4 linked regions of the Neodiprion lecontei genome follow. Each later gene encodes a partner of the first gene's protein in a complex. Links are inferred from orthologs where the notes say so. Each region holds a gene or a part of one and is shown in the gene's direction. Other genes may lie near its edges. The genes, in order: general transcription factor IIF subunit 1; general transcription and DNA repair factor IIH helicase subunit XPB; general transcription factor IIF subunit 2; DNA-directed RNA polymerases I, II, and III subunit RPABC4.

Evidence for each region.
Region 2: general transcription factor IIF subunit 1 (region 1) and general transcription and DNA repair factor IIH helicase subunit XPB share a complex: the UniProt entries of both Homo sapiens proteins name them as parts of the TBP-based Pol II pre-initiation complex. The link is inferred for Neodiprion lecontei from reciprocal best matches to the Homo sapiens genes GTF2F1 and ERCC3.
Region 3: general transcription factor IIF subunit 1 (region 1) and general transcription factor IIF subunit 2 share a complex: the UniProt entries of both Homo sapiens proteins name them as parts of the TBP-based Pol II pre-initiation complex. The link is inferred for Neodiprion lecontei from reciprocal best matches to the Homo sapiens genes GTF2F1 and GTF2F2.
Region 4: general transcription factor IIF subunit 1 (region 1) and DNA-directed RNA polymerases I, II, and III subunit RPABC4 share a complex: the UniProt entries of both Homo sapiens proteins name them as parts of the TBP-based Pol II pre-initiation complex. The link is inferred for Neodiprion lecontei from reciprocal best matches to the Homo sapiens genes GTF2F1 and POLR2K.

Annotation. Positions count from the first base shown.
Region 1 is NC_060261.1:26,083,806-26,088,701, reverse strand, and holds the start of general transcription factor IIF subunit 1, read left to right. Parts: upstream 1-1,882; 5' UTR 1,883-2,009; coding exon 2,010-2,033; intron 2,034-2,047; exon of another isoform or gene 2,048-2,150; coding exon of another isoform or gene 2,151-2,153; intron 2,154-2,199; exon of another isoform or gene 2,200-2,317; intron 2,318-2,983; coding exon 2,984-3,030; intron 3,031-3,284; coding exon 3,285-3,656; intron 3,657-4,151; coding exon 4,152-4,480; intron 4,481-4,896. UniProt on the Homo sapiens protein: TFIIF is a general transcription initiation factor that binds to RNA polymerase II and helps to recruit it to the initiation complex in collaboration with TFIIB. It promotes transcription elongation.
Region 2 is NC_060261.1:39,600,607-39,608,541, forward strand, and holds general transcription and DNA repair factor IIH helicase subunit XPB, read left to right. Parts: upstream 1-1,925; 5' UTR 1,926-2,151; coding exon 2,152-2,185; intron 2,186-2,286; coding exon 2,287-2,498; intron 2,499-2,572; coding exon 2,573-2,683; intron 2,684-2,782; coding exon 2,783-2,932; intron 2,933-3,061; coding exon 3,062-3,235; intron 3,236-3,320; coding exon 3,321-3,515; intron 3,516-3,603; coding exon 3,604-3,701; intron 3,702-3,786; coding exon 3,787-3,893; intron 3,894-4,031; coding exon 4,032-4,328; intron 4,329-4,408; coding exon 4,409-4,677; intron 4,678-4,817; coding exon 4,818-4,982; intron 4,983-5,143; coding exon 5,144-5,330; intron 5,331-5,428; coding exon 5,429-5,577; intron 5,578-6,163; coding exon 6,164-6,280; intron 6,281-6,661; coding exon 6,662-6,790; 3' UTR 6,791-7,464; downstream 7,465-7,935. UniProt on the Homo sapiens protein: ATP-dependent 3'-5' DNA helicase/translocase. Binds dsDNA rather than ssDNA, unzipping it in a translocase rather than classical helicase activity. Component of the general transcription and DNA repair factor IIH (TFIIH) core complex.
Region 3 is NC_060262.1:4,432,719-4,438,049, reverse strand, and holds general transcription factor IIF subunit 2, read left to right. Parts: upstream 1-1,744; 5' UTR 1,745-1,922; intron 1,923-1,968; exon of another isoform or gene 1,969-2,027; intron 2,028-2,102; 5' UTR 2,103-2,107; coding exon 2,108-2,256; intron 2,257-2,365; coding exon 2,366-2,517; intron 2,518-2,705; coding exon 2,706-2,795; intron 2,796-2,925; coding exon 2,926-3,050; intron 3,051-3,136; coding exon 3,137-3,280; intron 3,281-3,387; coding exon 3,388-3,543; 3' UTR 3,544-4,189; coding exon of another isoform or gene 4,190-4,247; 3' UTR 4,248-4,417; coding exon of another isoform or gene 4,418-4,568; 3' UTR 4,569-4,638; downstream 4,639-5,331. Other genes in the region: DNA polymerase delta subunit 3, read left to right, coding at 1-1,218; phospholipase A1 VesT1.02, read right to left, coding at 4,190-4,247, 4,418-4,568, 4,639-4,827, 4,925-5,170. UniProt on the Homo sapiens protein: TFIIF is a general transcription initiation factor that binds to RNA polymerase II and helps to recruit it to the initiation complex in collaboration with TFIIB.
Region 4 is NC_060264.1:19,860,998-19,864,386, reverse strand, and holds DNA-directed RNA polymerases I, II, and III subunit RPABC4, read left to right. Parts: upstream 1-1,652; 5' UTR 1,653-1,797; coding exon 1,798-1,858; intron 1,859-2,159; coding exon 2,160-2,252; intron 2,253-2,700; coding exon 2,701-2,723; 3' UTR 2,724-2,889; downstream 2,890-3,389. UniProt on the Homo sapiens protein: DNA-dependent RNA polymerase catalyzes the transcription of DNA into RNA using the four ribonucleoside triphosphates as substrates.

The DNA of each region.
Region 1 (4,896 bases):
TAGAATTCCTAGAAAAGAGGGGAGGTGCGCAAAGGTGACCAAAAAACTAGAGAGGGGGATCGTTCTGCGCAACGATCGACCCCTATAAAAAGGGCGACCGATCACTCGATCGCTCTCTCGGTTTCTACCTCCAGATTCGTGATCTAGTTCCGGTACAGTCTCGCGGTAAAATCCTTTAGCCTTTTGCATTAAAACTTTCATACAACGTTACTCTGCCCAAAAGTTCAGCGAGCTTCAACTCCATTTTGTCATACTAAGTTTAAGATCTTACACTGTGTAACTCTGCGTTTGTGACTTCTAAATATCAAACTTATAAAATAAACCAAGTTAGTCAAAGTATCCAAATATTAAAGTCAGTTATTCCGCTAAAACCTCTCACCAATCTACAAGTCATCGCATCCAGAATACTCTCAAAAAGGTAAGCCAAATTAAATCTTTTATCCAACAATTTCTCCCTCTTCGGTTCGTTCGACTAGAGCGACAGAATGCCCGTTGTCGGGTGTATTTCAATACTTAATCGGTAATTGGTGACCCAAACTACTGATGTGAGCCTAGCTGTAGCTGCGTGTGAATGTTTCCGGTGTCTAACATCTGGAGATTTCCACTAGGTACTGTTCCGACGTCACACTCACCACTGTTCGTATACTAAAAAATTGTACGCGTCTTGTCCCCGTTTTTTAGGTCCTCTACGTGGCGCTAGTAGACTTCTCAAACGCTCGCTGCCCTCGCTGACCGCGCGCAAGCTCGTCAGGTAACTACTAGCGTCACTAGTGGTGGAAATTGGCCGCAGAATCAAGGGACATTTTGCGAACCACTTTTAGCAGCGTGTGTCAGGGGGCTGTCATAGACTTATAAAGATAGACTGAGCGCTCCTATATGAGGTACTGAAGCCTTCATATAAAGGATAGAGATATGTCGGGAGTACTACTCTCTCTTTTCAATCGGTTTCATACCGGGAGACAAGGGCGTAGTGGAAGTGGAACAGCTATAGATATAGGCGCATAATTTCGCTTCATTCTCCTCTACCGCCTCGATCCCCGCCACAAATATCGTCAGAGAGAGAAAGGAGTACTCCCGGTATATTTCTGTCCTTTAAATTTTTGCTTCAAGCGACTCATAAGAGCGCTCAGTCTATCTTTTATAAGTCTATGGTGTCAATCCAATAAATCATTATCCCCGCGGTATTCTAGGGTTAGATTCGACGGTCATGGGTTAAGTTATGTTCATTGAGATTCAGTTTGTTTCGCGCTCGGCCCACTATGGCGTTGTAGGTTTTTCTGTGTTGCCAGCATAACTTTTTGGTGTCAAAAATTAGCTGTCTCAGATTCATTGTCCGCAAGTTTACAATAACATAGAAATTATCATTATTGGTCGGGTCTAACGGAACAGGCCAATGAAATTAATGAGCTTAGCTTAACGCTGAACTTCCAAAAGCGTGGTAAGTGCTTATGACGTCACGAAATGTATATTCACAAGAGAAGACAACGGCACCTTAACCCTTAATATTTCCTTTTTCCGGTTTAATCCGAAAAGCGCAATTGAATGTCCACGATCCATTGCATTTTGATGCTTAATTGGTACATGATCACCCAGAAGTCAGAATTATTGACTGTGCGTCTAGCTGTACATACTTGCGCGTTTGAATCTAGTGTCTAGCATCTGGAAATCGTCGTGGAGTGCCATGACGTCGTAGTAAGGCTTAGAGCATATAATTTTCAAAACATGGTCAAAGTCTGGATGCAAATAAGGGTACATAAAATAACCGACGCAGCACTGATTGATACCAAGTTGAGTGATGAAATTGAATGTTTAGTTACACAGTTACACTCATTGTATCTTAAATTATAGTCAGTTGGGCAACTTATGTTTCACAGCGCCACCACTAATTGCAGCCAAAATCGGCTCACTTCTTGTAACTCCAGGATATCCCTCCTTCTGTACGCTCTGTAGTGGAATGACTTGACTATGCGGTCTGGTAATCACTTATTTCACGATCTTACTAATCAACAATGAGTTCAACAGCTGTGACGAAGGTATTCATTACCATTACAATCTTTACGCAACATTAATTTGAAATCACAATAAGTTTTTCTTAGAATTACTATCGTATGAATTTCAGTACCCAATGTACTAATATTGTAAGATAATATATGGTATGCATAACCACTGCAATATATTTAGCGATATTTGGTACAGTTATACTGAAATGTAAGGCTAATGGAATGTTGTTCGCGCTAGAAGTAATTCGACAACAGAATTTCGTAATTGTATAATAATATTTAGAATTTCGTAAGTTACTCCACAATTATAATTATAGGTATGTAGTCATGGTAATCATATACTTCATATGTTTGGTTTTGTACTGATTGCCATATACAGACCCTTAGATTAATTCTGAAACATTTCAGTCCACTGTTGAAATGGATTCGAGTTATTTTTCATGACAGTTATTACAAGCCGTGCGTTCATTTTTCCCAGTGTCTGGCTTCGCAGCTGTAGTCATCCCGACATCTCCCTTCTGATACATTTGATTTTAGAAATATATTAATTCTTTAAAATTACTTTCCGTAATATCACCTCAGGGATGTATTCCCATGGAGGAATAAGTTCCTGTTTTATTTTGTATTCTATTCATTGTCGCATTGCAACTCCTTGCCTATTAATTCTGCCTTATTTATTTACCCCGTCTTGTTTATTTTCTTTGCGTTCATGAGCCGTATTTTGTCTCTATGAAGCGGCACAGTCTTATAGCCTGCATCGCGGTTCTTGCATGTATGTAGGTGAAAAAATGTGCATTAGAGTTTGTTTTGCACGTTAAACAAGTAATAATAGTCTACCTTGGTGGCCTGGAATGTGTTTGAATCAATCCAAGGATCAGTACATATACCATAAATTTAAAAAATGTTGGATTTATGAATTTTAATTTTGTAATATGTGCAGTACTTGATCATTTTACTAATACTCTTTGATCCTTCGTGTCCAGCCTGGCGCAGTACCTTCGGTACAAGAATATAGCATCAGAGTTCCAAAGTAAGTCTATTGTTTCCTTTACTAAGTTTGCCTGAGTGACATTAATTATACTCTAATTTTGACTTCAGTCTGTGACTGATTTTACATTATCAAATTTAGAATAAACGAATACTTAATGTTCCAATATTGTGAACTTTGTGTTACACAATTTTGTACCTTACATTTTGCTACATTAGAAGTATGTACCCCATACCATCATGAAAGATCCTATTACAGATTTGTATTAATCAGTATTTCGATCCTTTTTGCCACAGGAACAGTAAAAAAAAGCACAATGTCATGCGATTTAATGCAACACTCAATGTTGACTTTTCAAAATGGTCGCAAGTCAAGATGGAGCGTGAAAATAACATGAAAGAGTATAAAGGAATGGATGAGGAGATGCCAAAGTTTGGAGCAGGATCCGAGTTTGGTCGCGACGCAAGAGAAGAAGCAAGGCGAAAAAAGTTTGGAATAACAAGTAGAAAATACAAACCAGAAGATCAGCCTTGGATTCTTAAATCAGGAGGTAAAACAGGGAAGAAGTTCAAAGGAATTCGAGAAGGTGGAGTCAGTGAGAATGCAGCATACTATGTTTTCACTCATGCACCCGATGGTGCCATTGAAGCATTTCCTTTGCATGAATGGTAAGTTCACAAAGTACATAAATTCGTAAAAAAATTGATAGCTTATTCTTAGTTTTTCAGTGAAATTTTCAACCTACTGTATAAAAAATTTAGACCTTAGAGACTAAACAAAAGCATTTTCACTCAAGCTAGCAGCTAGTGTTTAGCAATATCGTTACAAGAGAGTGTCTCAATAACATTATCAATGCAAGAGGTATTTTTCTTCTATGAAGATTATTTCTAAGGAAATTAATAATGGTTGTTAACGACACAAATTATCAGCTATTTGCTGTCTCTGATACCATCAACATTATTTCGGTGTCCTTACTATATGTAACTAGTGAATAAATATTCTCGATTATAAATATTACGTTTACCATGATAGACGTTAAAAACTTGGTAATTGTGCATATGGTATTAGTTGCAGAAGCACTAAACTAGGTGAAAAAAATTTTTACTGTTACATCTCAATTTTTGTTCAATTTCGTGAGAAAAATTAGTTCATTCAAATTATAGGTATAATTTCCAGCCAATACAAAGATATAAAGCTTTGAGTGCTGAAGAAGCTGAGCAAGAGTTTAGTAGGCGGAATAGAGTCATGAATTACTTTTCATTAATGATGCGAAAGAGAATGCGAAACGACGACGAAGGCGCCGAAGATGATCCAGAATTATCTGAAGGTGGTAAAGGAAAAAAACTTGGTAAAAAAGAAAAGGAATTAAAAATATCAGAAATGGATGAATGGATGGATAGTGACGATGATGATTCGAGTTCTGACGAAGACAAGGAGAAAAAGAATTCTGAAGAAGAAGAGGATGATAAAAAAAAGAAAAAAAAAGCTAAGGGTTAGTTTACTTACATTTGATAGTTCTTCATTGATACGTTGACTGAAGAATTACAGAGAACTGCAAATTTTGGAAGGAGCTGCGTGATAAGTTTTGGGCCTGAGCAGGCAGGCGTGAAAGTAATTCTACAACTTGTTATATGAGATGATTATGTAAATTCAGTTTCAAATAGCAGAATATTGCAATATTACTCATGAATTTCAACTTCTCCAGCCAACATACTTGATTCATAGATCTCATAAAAGACTTTGTTTTTCTTCAGACAACTACTCATTTAGGTGAGATGCAATAACTCTTGCATAATCGTGCTAATAGATTACTTTATGTACTTTATTCAGAAGTAGACTTCGAGTTTTAATTACTACACTGTTTCAACATTAATCTTTTCTTTCACTGGCTTGAACGCAATTACAGAT
Region 2 (7,935 bases), about 14 Mb from region 1:
TTCAATGATATCCTTTAGCATCCGACTTACCGATAAGATTAGAGTTTAGAAATAATCACTCCACATACCGGTTCAAATATTGCGGTTTACCGAACTCTAAAACCTGCCGTATCTGAATACTTATCAACCTTAAGATCAATCCTTCGACACTTTCGTTGTAAAAAATTTACACGTCCCGAAAGGAGTTCCACAAATACTTTTGTAAATTTGACACAAATTGTGGATGAAAAATCCTGCGGCGAATAGCCGTAGATATCATGCTGTATTTTTGTGAAGTGACAAGTCGTCGAAGAGCACGCTTGTTGTATTGCGAAAATAGGAGATCGTCGTCACATAACTAGACTGGTTCGTCCGAAACAAACACGCGGTAAGTGAGGTGAAGGACAGAAAGTACGCTGGGTTCTACGATGACGCGTTGAGCCCATCAGGCACTTGCCGGTCCTTGATCCGAATGAAACGCGGGACAAAAATACGTCCGTAGACCTTTGTTATTCAGAGGTGTAAGCAGGTAATAAGACACCGGCGGACGGCCATGTTTGTTATAAAATTTTCATCGATTGAATCTTAAATTGGTAAGTAAGGACAGACCGGTGCGACGATGAGGGACGATTGGAGGATGGATGGATGAAGAAAGGTTAGATCTTGAGGGTAGTAGAAGTTGTAGAAGGAATGAAATAAAGATCTAACGCCCACAGACACGCATCGTGACATCGAGCGAAGCTAGCTCGAGGCTGCCACTCGTAGATATGCGTGGATCGCGAAGAGGTTCGACGGTGTTATGAGGCTTATACTCACAATTAACCACCCAGCAAAGTACAGATATCCTGACTTCTGCGGCTCGCCAATTCCTATGCGAAAAGCGAATCCCGCTTTTTGTGACCGATCCAAGTCTCACAAAAAGCTTGATCCGTTTGACGACAGAAAAATGGTTTATGGACTACCGGAGAATCCTTCCTTGTTTGCGGCTCTGCAGCAATATGCTCTCTGCTACATCAGACCTGCGCTGTGAACTTTTGCGCCGCCGGCATGCGCGCTTCGCCCAGGCACCGTATGATTGTGTTCTACGATTATAAGATTGTTACTGTCACGATATTCGCACTGAAGCAAGCTGCGGATGTCATTCAATTCTAAAACAGGTGAACTACGGTATTTTATTTTCTTCTGTCATTGCCGGTTGCCAATAATCATGCGTAAAATTATTCGCGCGAATAACGTAATTCGTGCGTTCTTAGCGATGAGCGCAATCTATGCGCCGTACTCGATGCGCAAGCCTTAAACTTGCCTGGGTGCCAAGTTTTGGTTACCAAAACCGTTGATTGATTACAGGAGAGCCGAATAAACAGTGTATCTAGATCGTTTCAGCAAAAACTCGACCACGTGGATAGTCCGTGGTGTAAACAGGCCGACTTTAATGCATGTCCACACGGACGCAACAGGATTACGGCAGTCCATGTACGATCAACAAATAACGCGCGATTTTTTCCTTTCAATTAGTAAATATTTTGATATTCGAGGTATACTTTAAAACCGACTTGAACAACAATCCTGTTCTCTTGGCGAATATAACACCGAATTTTGACTTACACTTTCGATAATCGTGCTGTAACACCTGGTTCTCATCATTCATTGATCGCGTATCGGAGAGAATTTTAAACCGAAGTATAAATATGTAATTATAATTATCTGGCTTTTAATTTTACTTTCTTAGTAAGATCAAGTTTCATTAGTTGTCAATTGTAACGTGTTTAGTGATCATTCAATCGCTCGTCCCTTATAATAATGCATATTACGACTATTGCAATTCGCTTTTTCAAGTTACAACCACGGTTACAACATGCTGCGCAGATCGTTTTTTTTCTCGGTTTTGCTCAGAAAACTGACAGCTCTGATCGAGATAGCTGACCTAACTTAACATGAAACGCACTTCAAGTCATACTTCAGCCAAACTTCAGGTTGCCTGTGAGGGCTGTGAGGTTATGTCAAACCAGATACAGTGCTGACCGTTGCCAGTCCGCAATGTGAGAGTTGTGTAGTGGTTATAAGTTTATTTACCGGGATTTACATCGACTGATTTTTCAGTGTCAAGGTGTGACGGCGTTGAATCAGTGTACAAATCATTTTGCCTGTGACTAATTTTTAAGCGGGGCTATCATGGGCCCGCCAAAGCGATTCAAAAAAGATAATGGTACATAACCCTTGAACACTTTTTCACCGTTCGTTTAGAGATACACTTCGAATTTTTTAATTTCTCATACTCATACGGTTCTCAATTTATTTATCATATAGACAAGGGCAAATGGAAAAAACGTAAGGAAGATCACGATGAATATTTCGACGACGACCACGGTGATGGTGGTGATACTGAAGGCATTCCTGATGCGGCTAAAAATGATATTGAAAAACAAGACGAAGGGGCTGTTGAAGACGAATTTGGAGCTAAAGACTATCGCTCGCAAATGATCTTGAAGCCAGACAACTCGTCGAGGCCACTATGGGTGGTACGTTGTTATTAGTCAATTAAACTGATCTCTGCAAATAAAAGAAGAATAATAAGAATATCCCAATTTTACAGGCTCCAAATGGACACATATTCTTGGAATCATTTTCACCGGTATACAAACATGCTCACGATTTTTTAATTGCCATTTCCGAGCCCGTTTGTCGACCAGAGCATATTCACGAGGTGAATATCAAATTTGATTCTTTATTTTATTCATGACTACCAAACATTTCGTCAAACCAAGCTCGCTGCAATTGAATAATTACGTACCCTTCCTTACAGTACAAACTGACTGCTTATTCCTTATATGCAGCCGTGAGTGTGGGCCTCCAAACCCACGATATTATCGAATATCTAAAACGGTTGAGCAAAACTAGCATCCCAGATGGAATCATTGAATTCATACAACTGTGCACGTTATCTTATGGAAAGGTAAGCATAAGTGTAGAAAATACTAAGAACTTTGATCAACTTCAACATTTTTTTTCTTATCTTTTATAATTTTGTTTTCCTTTGTTTGTACATCATACTGTTACAGACTATTTTCGTGAAACTTTACAGGTGAAATTGGTCTTGAAACACAACAAATACTTTGTGGAATCTCCATTTCCAGAAGTGTTGCAGAAACTGCTTAAAGATCCAGTCATTCAAGAATGCAGGTTGAGAAGGAACTTGGATGAGACTGACAAAGATGGTTTCATTACCAATGTTCAAGATAAAACAAAAGCTCCTCAGGTAGAATTCACTCCTGTTACATAATGCTTCTCTAGTCTATTATAATGTGCACCCAATTGCGAATATTATTATTTTTAATCCACAGTTTGGTACAAAAACATCAGCTACTGCTACCCCAACAACAGCACCAGCTCCGGCTGAAGGAAATGGAGAGCAACCGTCAGCAGAACCAGTTGCAGTGCCTGAAGATATCTCAACATTTTATGATAAAATTGATAAAGAGGATGAAGATGAGGAGGAAGAAGCACAGCTGAAAACTGTTAGCTTTGAAGTCAACCAGGTGAAAATTCTACCTTTGCATTGAATAAACAGCTGGTTATTTAATTTCACATTTGTTTCTATCAATGATCAATGATTGTTATCTGCAGGAAAAAATTGAAGTCATTCAAAAAAGATGTATCGAATTGGAGCATCCTTTACTTGCAGAATATGATTTCAGAAACGATACAGTTAATCCTGACATAAAGTATGTACTTTCAATAATGTCAGAATTTGGTCTTGTGACATGGTATCATTTATCCGTTTATCCAAATGATTTTGCTGTTTTTCAGTTTTGACCTGAAACCATCAGCCGTGCTGCGACCATATCAAGAAAAGAGCTTGAGAAAGATGTTTGGTAACGGACGAGCCAGGTCGGGTGTTATCGTACTACCTTGTGGTACATAAAAATTTCTTTAAACATCATATTTACATTGTGTTTTTACGATCTACAACATGCACTTTATAAAATAAAGTATTCCCTAATCTTGCTAACAATTCGACTTTAATATTCGTCTTAATCGACTTTAAAATTCAGGTGCTGGTAAGAGTTTAGTTGGCGTAACGGCTTGCTGTACTGTTCGGAAACGCGCATTGGTGCTTTGTAATTCAGGAGTATCGGTTGAGCAATGGAAACAGCAGTTTAAAATGTGGTCGACGGCCGACGATTCCATGATTTGTCGATTTACAAGCGAAGCTAAGGATAAGCCAATGGGTTGTGGTATTCTGGTAACAACTTACTCGATGATAACACATACGCAAAAACGGTCGTGGGAAGCTGAACAGACCATGAAATGGTTGCAAGAACAAGAATGGGGTATTATGGTTTTAGATGGTAAGTTTTATATCTTTTGCCCATAAATTTGACTTAAATGACTGATACAACTGATTTACATACATATTTCAACCATGCAGAAGTACATACAATACCTGCGAAAATGTTTCGTCGAGTTTTGACCATTGTTCAATCCCACTGCAAACTCGGACTAACCGCAACCTTGTTGAGAGAGGATGATAAAATTGCAGATCTGAATTTTTTAATTGGTCCAAAACTCTATGAAGCTAATTGGCTTGAGCTTCAGAAAAGAGGATTTATTGCCAGAGTACAGTGTGCTGAGGTCTGGTGTCCCATGACTCCGGAGTTTTATAGAGAATACCTGAGTTGTAAAACAAGCAAGAAACTGGTATGTGAATAACTCCACAAAAGGTCCATTTAACCAGGATGTAAAAATTTTTTTACTCGTCTTTTTGTCGTTTATTTTTTTGCTATCTTTTCAAATGATTGATTATCGTATTTAACTGTAATACTCGTTGTTTCTTTCAGTTGCTTTACGTTATGAATCCGAGCAAATTTCGTTGCTGTCAGTATTTGATTCGATATCATGAAAGGAGGGGTGATAAGACAATTGTTTTCTCCGACAATGTTTTCGCACTGAAACATTATGCAATCAAGATGAATAAACCCTATATTTACGGTCCTACCAGTCAGGTAGAGTTACTTGATAATGCTGCCGCAATATTTACGTGGGACTTATGCAATAACAGAGAATGTTATATTTTATCTTGAGAACAGAAAAGAAAGAACCTGATTTCCCAAAATATTTGTCGTCAATTTCATTTGTAATCGGTGATGTGTTGTGTGTTTTACAGAGTGAGCGTATACAAATCCTCCAAAACTTCAAATTCAACACAAAAGTGAATACAATATTTGTGAGCAAAGTAGCAGACACATCATTCGACTTGCCAGAAGCAAATGTTTTGATACAAATATCTTCTCACGGAGGTTCTAGGAGACAAGAAGCTCAAAGACTGGGTAGAATTTTACGAGCTAAAAAAGGTAGACACACTGCACCAGTTGCTTCTGAATACAAATTTCGTCAGCATTAAATTAACAATTACGTAATCTACCTTAAACTTCATAATTTTCTGTTTCAGGCGCAATTGCTGAAGAGTACAATGCTTTCTTTTACACCTTGGTATCACAGGATACAATGGAAATGAACTATTCAAGAAAGAGGCAAAGGTTTCTTGTCAACCAAGGCTATGCTTATAAAGTCATCACCAAACTCGCTGGAATGGATGAGGTAGATTACGTTCCTTTATGATTTCTTTATCCTTAAAGTGTAGCATCGGCAACCAATGTACATTCGTTTGCTGTTACAAAAAATAGAATAATTTACTTCCCTGTACACCAAAGTTATTATGCACAGCTTTCGCTTTTGTTCTGTAAGCATTCATAGTTACATTAATACCGCACATAAAATAGGTGGCATGCAAAATAGCTGGTGTACTAGATATATTCTTGTGTGGGCCGTCATGCTATAATTAGGATTGTACATCCTCTTCTTTAAATGGAGGAAATCATTTTAAATGAAATTAACATCTTACGTAATACTATTTAACTTCTTAAAATAACTTGTCAGTGCCCGTCACACTAATAGTATGATAAAGAATGAATCATTCATTGAATTCTTGTATTGTTGCAAAGATTGAAACATGTAAGCAGTATAATATTTTTTTGCTGTACCGTATTTCTATAATCTATAATTCCGCGAGTTCTATAAACACTTTAAATCACAACTGATACTAGAGTGCACGCTGGTATTGTATGAAATGCGTGTAATTTTCTTACGCAATCGATGGAAATAATTCTATGCGGTCTTCTTGTAGGAACCAGACTTAATGTATAAAACACGCGAGGAACAAGGTCAACTATTACAACAGGTATTGTCAGCAAGTGACATGGATGCGGATGAGGAAAGGATTCCGGGAGAAGGGCCAAGACCTGTGAGTATAAAATAGTATAGTTATAATTATTACTTCAGTGATTGGTAAGCAGAGCCGAAAATTTTATTCACTAGTAAAAAATGGAAAATTGTCGAATGACATTCCGCATGATTGTTACGATTTAACATCGACATTTTTTAAAGAAATTTTAATTACGCCTAGTACATTAAATTGTAAAATGTAATCAATCACAATGTAGATCAGGTGCTAAAGCGCTCAATACACTGTTGAGCATATTTCCAAAACACTCGATAATTATGCAGTTGTTTATTGATATGGTGGTCTACTATTTACTGCACGTCAATAATGAATCTCAGCTATAAAAAATAATCAATAAATATATATCGCAACACTTTCAATCGACGCTATTTTTCATTACAGGCAATGAGGAGGCCTGGAAATATGGCATCCATGTCAGGTGCTGACGACACAGTATATTACGAATACAAAAAGTCCGCCGCATCATCGACAGCCAACAAGCATCCGTTATTTAAAAAATTCCGAACCTAAATTTGTATTTATATTTCAGATATGTTTACGCAAATTATACAGTGGGGTCTTCCACCAATTATTTCGTACTCGTTGAGCTTTTCTCGGTCACACACCCCGTTGTTATAAGTTAAATCTCTTCAAAGGTGAATGTAAATGCAAAAATTCGTCGCGCATATAATATCAGTTGGATATCGCAGATTCGACATCGATAGATTTCTCCTTTGCCTGCATGGATAAAATCTTAGAGCAAACTGCTGTACCGATTTTAAAGAAAGAATATGGACTTTTAATAGCACATCAACTCCTAATCCAGTTCAAGTGATCGTTGTTACATTATTTTTAATCTGATCAAATTATTGATTCAATACAAATCTTTTGACAAGCAGCTATGTCAAAATAAATATTACTTGAAACGTTGAAAGGCGAACATTTGGAACTATATTATCTGTGATAAATACTTTGTTATCTAATTTTTTATACATGCATTCATGTCTTAGGTTATTTCGATGCAGCTTACACAAATTAACATTGATTCATTATTATCTTTCGTAATTGTATCCTTCAATACAATCTGATTTAACTGCGCCTTGTCACGAGATTAAACGTGACGAGTTTTTTTGTAAGCAATTTTATCTTAGATACGTGTCGTTCCTGTGTAATATAACGAGCCAGTAATAAAGTAGAATTAGCCATGATTCGTAACCTAAGCTGATTCACCTAAGTAATATATCGCATTGATAAGATAAGACGACGCTAATTTTACGGTCGGAGATAAAATTCTTATTCAGCATGAATAAAAAACGCTCGGTTGATTACTCATACGTCTTATCCAGAAATATTACGAACTCCGAACCAAACGAACTAATTTCTACGAAAATACAACGCAGTTCAAGATTATTCTGAAGTCAAAATCAATTCATTGATAAAAAAAATATCACTGACACACCATTGTCAGGAATATGTTAAGCAATTGGTTATTATTGTCAATCCACGAACACGAATACAATGTTTCGAATATCGGACGTGCTTTGTTCTGCATTTTCAAAAACTCTCGAAACAAAAGTCTGTAAATGCGTATGAAATGAAGTAGTACGAGTTTGACCGGCACGTTTCGAGCGCCTGGGAGTATTAAATAATCTAACGATGCTACAATCGGTAATTAA
Region 3 (5,331 bases), on another chromosome or scaffold:
ATTTACAGCTTGCAAAAAACTCTCCCTGAGATAGAGCTACTCGCCATTACTGACAAAGGCGATTCTCAATTGAGCGCTGTCCACTCTTCTCAGTCTGTTCTCAGGTCTGATCATGAGATGGAAGTTCTTCGTTGGGGTAGCGCCTTGTTAGCGAATAAACAGATGAAAAACAATACTCAGATTACAGCTCCGAAAGTTCGGGCAAATGCGAATACCGAGTCGAAGCTTACTGATCAGGCCAAGAATGTCAAGGAGTCCGGTGCTAAATCGACCACAAATAAAACAGCAGCGGCTAATTCGAGTGCAAAAACACAGAAAACTGCCTTCAACAATTTTTTTGCTAAGGCCATAGATAAGCAAAGCAAGGAGAAGACATCTGTGAAAGGTGTGAAGAGTAAACCTGTTGCGTCAAGCAGTAGTTTGACAACTACTTCACCCCATAAGAATAACTGGTTCGAGGAGAAGAAGAAACCTATTAGTTCGGACAACAAGGAGGCAAAAGAAAATCCGGAGAATATTAGCGATTCAAAAAAGCCTAAACTTAATGAAGACAAAGAAAAATCTCCGAAAACTAATTTACCGAAAAAGAATGCATGGTTTGAAGCAAAGAAAAAGCCTCCAAGTACCAGCGACAAGGAAGCAAAAGTACAGGTGGAGAGTTGCAGCGATTCGAAAAAGGCCAACGTAGAAAAGTTTGAAGAAAAATCACCACAGACTGAAAAAGTTAGCAAACAAGAATCGGCGGTGAAAAATCTCAGCTCTGGGAAAACTGGCGATAAAAAAAAAGTAGCATCTTCTTCACGAGGAAAAAAACGCAAGACTTCTTCAAAGGGCGAGAATACTAATAAGAAACGAAAACGTATAGTTGTGATATCTAGTGACGAATCAAGTGATGACAGCGAGACTAGGGATGATATTGAGGAACCTGATAGTTCTGAAGAACCACCGCAAGTTGTTGAAAGAGTTAAAAGTTCTCCTTCGCCACCTCTGGTCAAGTGTGAAGGCGGGAGGCGCAAAGTTCGGAAATTGGTCGATAAAACGTTTGTCGATGAAGATGGGTATTTTGTCACTCAAAAAGAATACGTTTACGAAAGTTGTTCAGATAAGGAAGAGGAAATGCCGGTAGAGGCTGCAAAACCTTCTACCGCTGATGTTGCAGCAAAGACTGCTAACAAGCGGAAGCAAGTATCGCTGCTTAATTTCTTCAAGAAGTCGTAGTTAACTAATACGTGGAAAATGTAACTGTAATGATGAATTAAAATATTCGTTGAATATATGCAAGTCATAGACGTGAACTATACTGTACATTACTGAATTTCAGCGGGAAAATATGAAATTACTCGCAATAAAGATAGAATATTTTTGATTCGTATTAAGGAAAGGAATAAGGAATTAGCGATGCTTTCTTTACAATCAAATTATGGAAAGTTATAAATTTTACGTCTATTATATTTGTTTCTGTCGTAATCTTTTTTTTCCTGTTACCTGATCAAACCCCTTTTTTTTTTTCTTTCTTCTTTTTCACGAATCCAGAACGTAGAAGTTGTGCAATCACAAGAACTGTACATACCGAAGAACAAATCTGTTATTTTTGTTAATAAATGCGCATGATATGTTTAGGTAGGGGTTTACAATAATACCGCGATATTTGAATACGTGTAAAAGCCCGGCGTTGACTCTTCTGGTAAGCCGTTCTCACTGCTGCCAAATATAATAACTAAATTTCCCCAGAATTTCGTAAAAGGTAGTCCTTTCAATTTTTACAACAGACTATCAGAAGCAAGTGTTTCTGTTGTATGTACAATTTATTTTACCTCTATTTAAACAGTTATTTACAGAAGATAAGTATAACGGAGTATTACCCTTCATTTCGCCTCGTTAAATACTGAAAGTCTATAATTATTGAGGCCATTTGCAACAAGGTAAGCAGTGCCAATATTGAAATCTGGCCACTTTAATAGTCAGTTTGGTTAGGTTTGAGATAGTTAATGTTTGTATCCAATATGCAATAAGTAATTAGGTTAAAGGTGACAGAAACTAGCGTTCGACCCATAATTGCCAGGATGAATGCGAGAATGGAAACTGAAATATTTTATTTTCAGGTATCATGTCTGCACCGCCTCCTCACACAGACCGAGAATTAGATTTGAGTAATGCAGGACGAGGAGTATGGTTGGTTAAGGTTCCTAAATATATTGCGAACAAGTGGGAAAAGGCTTCCGGAGATATAGAAGTTGGCAAGCTGAAAATCACAAAGTTTGTTAAAAATGTTAAATTAACCGAAGATCGTTTACGATTGTAGAAATGACAATCATTCCATCGCTCCACACCCTCCCCTTGATCATGAGGGTTGTTTTATCCGCAGAAATCCAGGGGCCAAAGCAGAAGTTTCTCTAAGACTTTCGGAAGCTGTTTTAGCTCTGAAGGAACGAGAGGAAGAGGAAATTCCAAAGGCACACCGGCTGGATGTAACTACTGTCACTCGTCAAATGCTGGGTGTATTTTCTCATGTCACACGTGAGTGTGAACAATTTTTGTGGCTGTATGCTTTTCTTTCAAAATCACTAAAACCATTAGCTAGTCTATTATTACTTTGATCCTAGAATTGCTCAAAGTACGAATTAATAAATTAGGACAATGCAGCATGCATTCTCTGGCTTGAATCTATGCATCTACTAAATTGTCTATTCCAATGATTTTTACAGCTGCTAGCACTTCGGATGCTATTGTTCCAGAGACTGAAAAACTTTACATGGAGGGTAGAATAGTGCAGAAACTTGAATGCCGCCCTTACGGTAAGTATGGGTGATTCAGAATCGTTGAACCTTGACTTTAGTGGCAAATTTTCAGAAAAGTTCAATAGATTGAAATATTCTTCCAATCTTCGACTGCGTTGTTAATTTAAATTCGAAATTACATTTTTAGCTGACAACTGCTACATGAAGCTTAAGTTGGAAAGCATAAAACGAGCATCGGTGCCTCAGAGGCAAGTTCAACAATTGGATAGGGTTGTACAGAATTTCAAACCTGTATCTGATCACAAACACAACGTAAGTTATGAATGTAATTGTTGAAGAATTTTACCGTGTTTTCTGTTTGTCTTTATTTGGAGATTTTATCTGCATTATTTTTACAGATCGAATATGCCGAAAAGAAGAAGGCTGAAGGCAAGAAGATGAGAGATGACAAAGACGCGGTATTAGAGATGCTATTTGCAGCATTTGAGAAACATCAGTACTACAATATTCGAGACCTTGCCAAAATCACCAGGCAGCCTATCGTAAGTTATGCCACAATCTTATAAAATTTTTTTGCAGACATATACGATTTTTCTGAGAATTGGGGAATTACACTTTTGCAATGATTCATGAAAAAATTGATTTACAGGTTTACTTGAAAGAAATTTTGAATGAAGTGTGCAATTACAACTTGAAGAACCCGCACAGAAATATGTGGGAATTGAAACCTGAGTATCGTCATTACAAGGATGATCAGAAGCCAGCGGCAACTGCCACAAAAGTTGATGACTCAGACGATGATTAGTACTTTGTTTTATATACTTTTTTAGAATGTTTGGACGATTTGCTGCCTGTGATTTGCTAGTTCAGATCTTGATTTACTGAGTTCACTGATTACAATCGATCAACTCATAGATCGATGCAATTTCTTAAATGGAAATTTATTTGATTCGTAAAGGCGTTCCAGGAATAGCTTCGGTGAATTTAAGCAGAGTTTGTGAGATAGTAAAGTGATAAATCGCGTCCCCATGGAATAATTCTTCTATATCGACGCCAGGCAAAGAGAGAAAATAAAAGACTTTCTCTTGTCATAGGATCCAAATAATAGGGAAATTTGCGGAAATCCGCATTGGATGATTTGTAAATAGTGATATATTGTATTTATTTTTACATCAATCGTTTAGATGCGAAGAGAGAAGTTGAAGAAGCAAAGACTTTATCTCAGATGTAGATTTGTTCATATTGTTACTCGACATAAGTTTCATACGGAAATATTAAAGAGAATCTACAAATATAATGGTGCGTAGGAGTAAAAAATATATCAAAGCATAATGAAACGGTAATGCACTTTAAAAAAAATTACATTACAGTATATTTAAACATATATATATAAGATACAATTACACCAGCCATCATGCTCTGATTTATAGAAATCAAATCAAGGCTTCTGCTCATCCCAAAGCATAGGGAGACTGTCTGGCTGTCTCAAGAGTAAAGCTGCCTCTGGCACTGCAAAAATAATGTTAATCGCTCATTAGTTCCGAAGCTGTAATGGCAAAGCTCCAAAGTTTTTTTCTCTTTATTGTAACTGGTTTGATACTAATAATTCTCGGTGGACATACACAAGTATCTCCGCAGCTGTTTTCTGTACTAAACAAAGTTTTTCTACTCGTACTTACAATTTGTTAAAAACTCTACCACCCATGTACACTTCGTTGTGTCGGTCAAGTGCTTCCAGGTACATTGAACGTGTTCCTGTGGCACGGAAACCGGTCGGGTTCCTGATAGATTCTGCGAAGAAGTAATAGGCGCGGGAATGGGCGCAGCTCCCTGTAAAGGATAATGTGTTAGAGTGCTGCGATATGCGCAATGACAAACTCTCAACTTGTGCGAAACTTACCGACAAGGTCCAGTCCGCATCCAGGCTGACTGCTACCGCCGTTGGGGTAAAAATCGGTATCACCAATGGCATCCATGATGCCGAGAAGTCCTCCATTTGTGTGGATTATCTGAACATGGTCAGCGTCAGTTTGGTGAATTCGGGATCCAGCTCCAGCAGAGTTAAAAAGAGGAAGCGCTGGGTCGAGACCTGTGAAAATATTCGTGCAATGATGAAAAACGATTCCTTGTGTAAAGAAGACCGGATTTTCGAACGAGTTAAAGAATCTCATCTGCCTTTTACTCACCTATGACAGCGTCGATTGTGCCCTCAGCGTTGCGGGCAGCAATTCCAGACACGTGAGCACCTAGAGAGTGTCCAACGAGTTTCGTCGATGCTACGTTGAGGCCGGCGTTGGCGCTGAGGAAGTTGATCATCAGACTAACTCTGGCGGCAACACCTCTGACGCTTGATGAAGCACTCACGTAAAGAGCACCAGCAATGGAACTCCAATCGATCACAATCACGTTGTAGTCGCCTTCAGCTAGGTAGGCTGAGGATAAAAACGAGGAGATATGAACACAAATATGAACACAGGACTCAACGATGTGAAGTCAAATTACGTCTTAGAAAAAACAATTTTCCTGTAATTCTTACAACCGGTGTGAACTTAGCATCCCCATCATCTCTATGTCAAAAACATGCTACAATTCT
Region 4 (3,389 bases), on another chromosome or scaffold:
ACCTCAAGGACAAGGATAACGTACGGTAAACAAACACGCCGGGTCGCCCCTCTTCAATCGACGATCTGCCAGCCGCAGCTTCTGTATCCAATAGTCTTATTCTCTCCACGAGACACAATCGAGTAAATAAACGGCACTGATCGGTCACGGCAATGAAACTACATGAAGAAAAGACACACACACAAGAGTCACGGTACGCGGAGATAAATAGTAACAACAAACACACGTGGGTTTTACAATATTTTGACTTGAATGGATATGTATTTGAGCGAGAAACTTTTGACACGCACCTTATTCATTCACGTTCATCGGATGTAACGAAAACCTGCATCACCACACAACATGAGACACACAAAAACCACTTGATCGGATGCACGATCACGAGTAAATGACCAAAGGAGCGCGAATAATATCCTCTATTTTCACTGCGCGAACGTACCGACTTAACCAATTCTTTGAAGAATAGATAGAAACGATAACAGTCACAGGACCGCGCGACACAACAAAACACCGGGAACTAAACGTAACGCGCACGCCGACCGCTCGACACGCTGCGTGCTGCTGCTGTTACTGGCTGCTGCTCCGTGGGCAGCCGGTCCTGCTCGGAGACTGTGGAGATACTCGACTAGTTGAGTCCTTTCAAAACTGTTTATCCGTTGCCCTACCGAGGGCCGACCGCCGGATCTCAGCCAATCGGGTGCGAGGACGCCGTCTGGCGGTGCAGCTGCTCTCCCGCCGGTTCAGCCGAACCGAATCCCATTGGCGGCGAGATTTGTTTTCTGTTATTGGATTCTTTTTCCTTTTCTGGTGTAACGCGTCTTCTTCTTCTCCTCTCGTTTGCACGCCTACGCTTATATTATCGCTATCGCAGGCTGAGAACAACACCGTGTCCCGCCAACACGCACGCTGTGATGGCACACTTCCTCGCTGCTCCGCGATTCGATCACTACTCTTTCTCTTTCTCTAAACCGCGCGAGATCCTGACAAGGAGGCGGGACGGCAGGGACGCCCGCCAGCGAGAGCCGCGGTATACTAGGCGGGAAAGGCGGGAACGCATCGCACGGTTGCCAACCCTGCAAATTCGACATGTCTGTCTTCGCGGTCAATCGTTCTCCAGAGATTTTCATTACGAATTCATTAAGGTTCGTTTTACCTGACGGAAAATGATAGAAAAATGGAGTACCATCTATATATATTTCGGATTTTTTGTTACTGTTCGATACTAAGTATTTCAATTGTCAAGCTGAATTATATCTTCAACATGATGTCGAGAATACCAAATCACCGAAAAACCTTTGCGAAGGATGCGACTTGACCAATTAATCAAACTGCATCGCCAAACTTTGAGGATAAGTGCTTGAAAAGCTTACTCTAACCTGCTGTCGGTTAGATTGATATCTAGGATAGGCAAATTACCAGATCTATAAAAATATCGAGGATATTGTATGAAAACAGTTCTCAACTACCCTCATTCAATTAATTCATACTTCCATGCTAATGTGGGTATTATTACCCAAAAACATGTTTATTGCAACAACCACTCGATCGGTAAGTGTCGGATGTGTCTTCGCTATTGTCTCACGCCATGCAATGCAATTGTGCGCGCCGATTTTAGCGCTTCTTGTGCATCGTGGATTGTCGGGGAACTAACCAGGTATAATATCGACATTACATTAGGTTAAGTAAGGTTACTTTAACACTTTTAAGCGTTCTAAACACAACGATTTTCGGAGACGAGCAGAAGGATCCGTAAGAAACGCATAAATATTGGCTTAATTATCTTGATTACCTCGTGATATGGACACTAGCAGTAAAGCGGAATCTGCGCCTAAGCAAGCTATGGTTTACATCTGCGGAGGTGAGCGATACTTTGCCTCAAACTTGGATCATCGAGGTTATGTTATGCATAGCTTTGTTTACCGATACGGCTACACGTGGGTCTGAATAAGAGTTTTTTTTTTAAGAACAAAAGTTATTGTAGCATCTTGTTTCAACTTCACAAGTAATCAATACAATCGCAACCTTAAACTTACTTGACACATGATTAAACATCACACAACGATCAAGCATCCTGTCTGTTTGGTTATTTATCAGTTTTCTCTGTTGTATCTTCTCTGGCTTATTCTTCTTTTCATTATTGTTTTACATCTCGTTTTCAGAATGTCACCACGACAACGAGATCCGTCCTAGAGATCCGATACGTTGCCGAGAATGTGGGTACAGGATAATGTACAAGAAACGCACCAAGCGACGTATCCTTTTCTATTGTTGTCTGCCTCACCAATTGTTTAATCAACTTATTGAACTTTGGCCTTCTTCTGTCAGATCAAAAAAAAATAGTTTACTATGAGTCCAATTTGGCATCACTTCGATTGAAAGATCAGCACTGATAGCAGCAGAGTTTTTTGACTTTCTTGGTTTTAAACTTCATCCACGTAAATGTTTTAACGCAACAACCTATAACACTAGGTTGCTTTCCGCTGAAATTCAACGCTATCTTTTCACTGACGAGTTCAGGGACTTTTCACATGTTTTCAAATTATTGTTACGATTAATAAATTCCCATACTACAACATCATTGTTCGATATCTTGCCAGCTGATGATTTCACCACTGACCTTATAAAATCAAAAATAAACTCACTACAAAAATTTGGAAAACACATCTCCTTTACATTCCTTAACACAATAATAATAAACAGTCGTCGTCTTCGATGCTCGATAGATGTGTTGTGACCAGCCACAAAACCCTGTACAAATTCTTAACAATAATGGAATTCTATGAAGATGATCATCGCGCCTCAATTTATTATATGTAATTACACTGCGATGAATTAATATTTGACCATTTTTTCTTGTATGTGAAATAAATGACATATATGTCAAAGAAATATATTTTAGCTTATTTAATACATCAAATTTTCTTACTTCTAAGCAACACAATTGAATACGTTTTTTACTTTGGTTGTAAATGAATTTAAAACTCGTTTGTCTTTTTTTCTTTTTATTTCTTTTAATTTCATTATTTTCATTTTTTTAGGCAATATACTTTCTTCATTTACAATAAATAAATTACACTTTTTTTTCATCTTTTTTTTCCTTTTTTGCATCAATAAAGTATATAAGAGTTCGTTAACAGATTTTTTGTTTAATTTACGCTGAATTACGGAAGAGGTTAGGTACAGAGAAGAAGGTAAAGGTGGAAGAGCAACGGAGCTTGTGAACAATCGGGAGCCTATGCGAATACATGTATAATTTTAATAATTGATAAAAGTTGGATTCTACCTATTTTAACTACGTATTATTTTATACATCTAGCTAATACCTATGTATGTATGTATAATGTTTATAAAATCCTACACTCCGGTCCCTCGATCTGATATCAACAGGC